Linked DNA regions of Ovis aries. The protein of the gene in region 1 interacts with the protein of each later gene in a pairwise test. Links are inferred from orthologs where the notes say so. Each region holds a gene or a part of one and is shown on either strand. Other genes may lie near its edges.

Evidence for each region. The genes of interacting proteins can lie anywhere in the genome.
Region 2: the proteins of MYOZ1 (region 1) and FLNC interact in a two-hybrid assay, tested with the Homo sapiens proteins (2 studies listed by BioGRID and IntAct). The link is inferred for Ovis aries from reciprocal best matches to the Homo sapiens genes MYOZ1 and FLNC.

What each region holds. Positions count from the first base shown.
Region 1 is NC_056078.1:28,836,273-28,840,561, reverse strand, and holds the start of MYOZ1 (myozenin-1), read left to right. Parts: upstream 1-1,379; 5' UTR 1,380-1,483; intron 1,484-2,865; 5' UTR 2,866-2,906; coding exon 2,907-2,979; intron 2,980-3,883; coding exon 3,884-4,062; intron 4,063-4,289. UniProt on the Homo sapiens protein: Myozenins may serve as intracellular binding proteins involved in linking Z-disk proteins such as alpha-actinin, gamma-filamin, TCAP/telethonin, LDB3/ZASP and localizing calcineurin signaling to the sarcomere.
Region 2 is NC_056057.1:94,519,034-94,521,815, forward strand, and holds part of FLNC (filamin-C), read left to right. Parts: coding exon 1-48; intron 49-173; coding exon 174-416; intron 417-591; coding exon 592-861; intron 862-958; coding exon 959-1,096; intron 1,097-1,359; coding exon 1,360-1,475; intron 1,476-2,194; coding exon 2,195-2,327; intron 2,328-2,415; coding exon 2,416-2,592; intron 2,593-2,737; coding exon 2,738-2,782.

The DNA.
Region 1 (4,289 bases):
CCTTCTCAGGAAGAAGGATATCTATCCAGGGAGAAGTGACATCTGTCCTCTGAGTAGGCTGAGCTGAGCACCCCAACAGCAAATGGGGGTAAAAATGAGGAAACTGGCTCAAGTTTTGCCCCACATCATCCCTGACAGCCTAAGCACTGGATTTGGTTAATTTGGTCCCTTATCCTGCTAAGATCTGGCCCTCCCAGAAGAAAGACTCGCTTATCCAGGAACTTTCACAGGGCACTTAAAACATTGTGAACAGAAATTCCCTTCTCCAATTCCTTAAAAAATTGCAAATAGAACTACCTTATGACCCAGCAATCCCACTGCTGGGCGTACACACCGAGGAAACCAGAATTGAAAGAGACACATGTACCCCAATGTTCATCGCAGCACTGTTTATAATAGCCAGGACATGGAAACAACCTAGATGTCCATCAGCAGATGAATGGATAAGAAAGCTGTGGTACATATACACAATGGAGTATTACTCAGCCGTTAAAAAGAACTCATTTGAATCAGTTCTGATGAGATGGATGAAACTGGAGCCGATTATACAGAGTGAAGTAAGCCAGAAAGAAAAACACCAATACAGTATACTAACACATATATATGGAATTTAGGAAGATGGCAATGACGACCCTGTATGCAAGACAGGAAAAAAGACACAGATGTGTATAACGGACTTTTGGACTCAGAGGGAGAGGGAGAGGGTGGGATGATTTGGGAGAATGGGAATTCTAACATGTATACTATCATGTAAGAATTGAATCGCCAGTCTATGTCTGACGCAGGGTGCAGCATGCTTGGGGCTGGTGCATGGGGATGACCCAGAGAGATGTTGGGGGGAGGGAGGTGGGAGGGGGGTTCATGTTTGGGAACGCATGTAAGAATTAAAGATATTAAAATTTAAAAAATAAAAAACTAAACCTGAAAAAAAAAAATAAAGGCTTGAACTGAGAAAAAAAAAAAAAGAAATTCCCTTCTCCAGACATAGCATCTTAAGCCTTCCCACCCACATGTCCCTCAAGCCCCGGCCTACATTGGCTCTGCATGGCTCTCCAGACACGTTCTGGTTCTCACTCTCCCACTCCGAATTCCTGTCCACCACTTGCTGCCTGCTTCCTCTCTCCCTCTCAGTTTTCAGTTTCTCCCTGAGTGCTTCTCTGGATCTGAGCCTCTAGGTGCCAAGGAAGGGGAGTCCCTGGGCAGAGTGATCCTTGGCTCAGACAGCTTAGTGGGAGAATTCCAAAGGCTTTTCCTACCCTTCCCGAGCCTCTGGGCAAGGAGGGCGGGATCTTGGTTCCAGGGTCTCAGTACCCCCTGTGCCATTTGAGCTGCTTGCGCTCATCATCTCTATTAATAACCATGCTCCCTCCCCCACTGCCAGTGCTGCCCCCACGCCTGCCTAGCTCGGGTTCTCTAGTCACAGCAGCTCAGTCCTCCAGAGCTGCTGGACCCCAGGGAGAGCTGACCACCGCCTGAGCAGCCGGTAAGTCTCCAGCTGATGGCCCAAGGGGCTGGAGCGCCTTCTGTCACTGCTGTGTCTGTGTCTGTAACAGTGACCCTTGATCCCAGGGGAGCTGCCCCCTTCCTCCATCTATACTTATTCCCCAGTTGTCCAGTTGAGGGGGGCCACAGAGAGTTGGTGGGAGAAGGACTCCAGAGGGTGGGGGGACTGAGATGTTGGGGGAGACACTGAAGAAACGGGCAGAGGGGTGGAGACTGAGAGGCTGGGTGGAAAATAAGAACCTAGTTGGGGTTGAGAGGGGTACAGGGAAAGTCCATTTAGCAGTTCCTGGGCTCCAGCTGCAGCAGACCCCACTAAGCAAGTAGAATTGCAGGTGTGTTGTGAGATAGGACTCAGTAGAAGACAGCATTTTGCTGAGACCCAGCTTCTGTGAAGGAGGGGCTGGAATTTGTATCTTTTTCCAGCTTGTCCCCATCTACTGCCAGGTCCTATGAGTATGTTTCTGTCCTCCCTGAATTTTGTGCTGCTGTGATATTGCTGAATTGATATGCATCAAGGTTCAAATGTCCCCTGACCTCCCTCTGCACTCTGGTTCTAGGGTCCAGTCAGGGCTGGGGAGGGCAGGGGGGAGTGACTGAGAGAGCAGAAGCAGAGTGCTGTGACCTCCCAGGCCATGATCCAGCTGGCCCAAGGGAGGGGCAATAACCTCTTCATCCTATGGAGAATGTTTTTGGCTGGATCTCCTCAATGCTGGCAGAACATTTTTTCTGCTCCACCCCCACCTCCCCACCCCTGCCCTGGGGCTTGGGGAAAACTGAGAGACTAGAGCTTGGAATGACAGCTCCAAACTGAGAGACCCATGCAAATAAAAACTTCATATCATGCCAAACCAATGAAATCTGGGTGCATTGCCCTACCTGTAATTTGTTTGTTTTATTCCCAACATAACGTTGTATTCCTAAACTCTGCACCATCTCTGTGTAAAACAGCTGAATAGAGAGGTTGGTAGAAGGTAGGAACAGGGGGTATATCTATACTTTCTGCTCTGCTTCCTAAGAAGAGAAGCCATAAAGCAATGGGTTTTCACCTTTTGTGTGTGTTTGTGAGTCGCTCGGTCGTGTCAGACTCTGCAACTCCATGGGGTGTTGCACGCCAGGCTCCTCCGTCCATGGTCCATGTGATTTTCCAGGCAAGAATACTAGAGTGGGTTGCCATTTCCTTCTCCAGAGGATCTTCCTGACCCAGGGATCAAACCCAGGTCTCCTGCATTGCAGGCAGACTGTTTACTGTCTGAGCTACCAGGGAAGCCTTTTCCTCTGAAAAATCTAATGAAGTGTTTTTCCTGCAAGTCTTTAAGCAGTACCTACTGGGGACACTCACTCTAGACCCTGTCCATCCTTCAGCTTCCCCCTCCCACCCTGTCCAGGCTCCATCCACCTCCACAATGCCGCTCTCAGGGACCCCAGCCCCCAATAAGAAGAGGAAATCCAGCAAGCTGATCATGGAACTCACTGGAGGTATGGCATGTTCGCACCTACCTAGTATGGGACTTCTTAGTAAGAGTATCTCTGGCCCAAGAGTTCCAGAAATATCATAAGGTTGTATATGTCTTAAGGTGAAGAGATATGAAGAGACACGAGGAATTTGGGGTGGTGGTGGGGTTTACAGGGGTGGTGGGGGGTGGAGAACAAGAAAGAATTCAACACTGACTACTCCCCCTTCCACCCTTTTCACCTTGTAATCTGAGACAGTAATATCCCTGCCATATTACCCAGCGCAGGTCCAAGACAACAGGACCCACAGGTCAATGAGGTTTGTTTGAGGAGAAAACATATATGCTGCAGACTGGCACAGAGTAAGGTCTCAATAAGAGCTTAATTTCCTTACTTCTTTCCCCAGAACGAAGGAGCTTTGTCTGAGCACTTAAAACGGAAAATTCCTTGAGCATTTTTCCTGGGGGTAGATGAGCTTTCCTAATACCGAGAGGCTGTTTGCAGCCAGAGTTTATGAGAAGAGAAGGGAAAGAAGTTGAGACAGGAGTCTATATTTAGAGGTGGCCTTTGGGCCTCCCCCCATGCTAGGCTTCCCCAATGTTCTCCACCTATGATGTTTCTTTACTCTTTTGCCTTGTACCCCATACCTCTGTTACGCCATGTACCCTCTCCACGCCACTTTAGTATTCCCTCTGTCTTCCCCTCTACACCCCATTTCCCATGCGTTCTCTCCAACTCCAAACCCAGGAAATCAAAATCCCTCATAGACTAGACAGAATTTAACCAGACATCAGAGACAGCATCTGCTTCCCTCAGTGACCTCCACTGGGACACACACACACGCTTAGTTGCGGATGGCAGCTGCATTTGGAACTAGCAAACCCCACTTTCCTCTTCCCTTGTCTCTGCCTCCCCACCTCCCTGAAAGGTCGACAAGAGAGTTCAGGCCTGAACCTGGGCAAGAAGATCAGTGTCCCAAGAGACGTGATGTTGGAGGAGCTTTCGCTGCTCACTAACCGGGGCTCCAAGATGTTCAAACTGAGGCAGTTGCGTGTGGAGAAGTTTATCTATGAAAACCACCCTGATGTCTTCTCTGACAGCTCAATGGTGAGTTTAGAACTCTACAACTCTTGAAGCCTAGTGCTTCTTCTGACAGTTTCTTGGCAGGCCCAGAGTTTCCAAAATATTATCAACCTCCCCTCCCTGCAAATTTATAAACTCATTAACCCCTCAGATATAGCATGCCTCCAATAGATGGAGGGTGAATTACCATCCACCCCGAAACTAAATTTGTATCTTAGAGCTGGTGAAGCAGGGTGAGGAGTACCACACCT
Region 2 (2,782 bases), on another chromosome or scaffold:
CCATCGCCACCATCGGCAGCACCTGTGACCTCAACCTCAAGATCCCAGGTGGGCACCGGAAGAGCCTGGTGGGGTGGGGCTGTGGGGAGGGCCCAGAGCCTGTCCCCGGGGCCTCTGTCCTTCTGGCTAACTTCTCACCTCCCTCCCCTCCGCCGGCTCTACCTGTCCCACAGGGAACTGGTTCCAGATGGTGTCCGCCCAGGAGCGCCTGACACGCACCTTCACCCGCAGCAGCCACACATACACCCGCACAGAGCGCACAGAGATCAGCAAGACGCGGGGCGGGGAGACCAAGCGCGAGGTGCGGGTGGAGGAGTCCACCCAGGTTGGCGGAGACCCCTTCCCCGCCGTCTTCGGGGACTTCCTGGGCCGGGAGCGCCTGGGCTCTTTTGGCAGCATCACCCGGCAGCAGGAGGGTGAGCAGCACCAGCTGGGCTCTTCACAGGGAGGTGGGCCTTCTGTCCCTTGGGACAGCATGGGGAGGCTGCTGGTCTGAGCAGAGGAGGGGGTGTTTACTGAGGGAGGGAGGGAGGGAAGGGCGAGGGCCTGGGGCAGCCCCGGTGTCGCCCTGACACTCCCCACCCCCTGCAGGTGAGGCCAGCTCTCAGGACATGACTGCACAGGTGACCAGCCCGTCGGGCAAGACAGAAGCCGCCGAGATCGTGGAGGGGGAGGACAGCGCGTACAGCGTCCGCTTTGTGCCCCAGGAGATGGGGCCCCACACAGTCACTGTCAAGTACCGCGGCCAGCATGTGCCAGGCAGCCCCTTTCAGTTCACCGTGGGGCCGCTGGGTGAAGGCGGTGCCCACAAGGTGCGGGCTGGAGGCACAGGGCTGGAGCGAGGGGTGGCTGGCGTGCCAGGTAAGGGGGCGGGTGCCCGGGACGAGGGATGGGGGCAGGACAGCCAGCAGGATGGGCGACAGTGCTAAGAGTTGCCCCGTCCCATTTCTGTCTCCAGCTGAGTTCAGCATCTGGACCCGAGAAGCAGGTGCCGGGGGCCTATCAATTGCTGTGGAGGGTCCCAGCAAGGCGGAAATTGCATTTGAGGATCGCAAGGATGGCTCATGTGGGGTCTCCTATGTCGTCCAGGAGCCAGGTGGGCATCTTGCTGGGCCTGCCTGACTTTCCAGACCAGGCTTCTGCTCAGCCCGGCAGGAGATGGGGCTCCCAAACCAACCCCTCACCTGGGCCACTGCAGTTTCTCTGCCCATTTCCCTCCACCCTACACCCCCAGGAACACGTGTCTCCAGAGCTGAGCTCGACCTAGGAGCTTGTCCGGGCCTGAGATCAGGGTGGGGTCGTTTCCCCTGCTGCTGCCCCCCGTCCTGGAGCTTGCGCTGACTGGTCTTCTCTCCCCAGGTGACTACGAGGTCTCCATCAAGTTCAACGACGAGCACATCCCAGACAGCCCTTTCGTGGTACCCGTGGCCTCCCTCTCAGATGATGCTCGCCGTCTCACTGTCACCAGCCTCCAGGTGTGTGCCCGGGGTGGAGGGGGGGATGAGGCCCTCCTGCCACCCTGAGAGATGGGCAGGAGTAGAGGATGGCAGCTCCATGTGACCAGGGACTTAGCAGTGACCTTGGAAGGTCCAGACAGATGGCCCCTCTCTCCCAGTGTTTGGACAACAGGGGGCTCTAGCTATACTAGCTGCCCCTTGGGGTAGTCTTGGAAGCCTCAGGTGCCACTGTGTCCCTCCTCCCCCTTCCCCATCCTAGAACTGGCCTCATCTTCACGACCTACCCGCCCTCAAGCCGCCCAATCAGCCCCACCTTCTCCATCAAGTGCCCCCAGGGCAGTCCAGCCCACATGTCTCTTTCCCATCCCAGCTACTGAGTTCTCGCAGTCCACACAATGCTGTCCCAGCACTGGGTTCTCTATCAGGCCGGCTTTATAGTATCCAGGTCTTACCTCCCCAGCCAGGACAGGGCACATCATCTCTGGTCCCCAACCATGCCGGGCACAGCCAGGTGGCCCCACCCCATAGCAGGTGGTTGCCAAGGCCAAAGACCCAGCCTCTGCCTCCCATCGCAGCCTTGTTCAGAGCCTCCCTGAGCTGGGCCAGGCAGCAGGGGGCAGCTGGGGGTGGGAGGAGGGAGCCTCCAGGCTGGGCAGGAAGGGATATCAGTGCTAGGCTGCAGACATGAGCCCTCCAGGCCCTCCCAGAAGTCTGAGCACCCTCTGTGGTGTCTGCAGGAGACCGGGCTCAAGGTGAACCAGCCGGCGTCCTTTGCGGTGCAGCTGAATGGCGCACGGGGCGTGATCGATGCTAGGGTACACACGCCCTCAGGTGCAGTGGAGGAGTGCTACGTCTCCGAGCTGGACAGTGGTGAGCTGGCCTGTCCCTGCCAGGCTAGGACCTTCTGGAAAGGGGAGGGAAAAGACTAAGGCTCACTGACCAACCTCTGTCCCCACAGACAAGCACACCATCCGTTTCATCCCCCATGAGAATGGCGTCCACTCCATCGACGTCAAGTTCAATGGTGCCCATATCCCTGGCAGTCCCTTCAAGATCCGAGTTGGGGAGCAGAGCCAGGCTGGGGACCCAGGCTTGGTGTCGGCCTATGGTCCTGGGCTCGAGGGAGGCACTACAGGTGAGTGCCTGGGGCTGGGGAGAGGGGTGGACAGTGCTGATGAGCCCCAAGTCCTGGCAGAGGTCTGCTCCGGGGAGCCTGGGCCCATCCCAGCTTTGGGCCCCAAGCCCTTCTTGCCTACATCCTTGCTACCTCTGGTCCCCAGGTGTGTCGTCAGAGTTCATCGTCAACACCCTGAATGCAGGCTCAG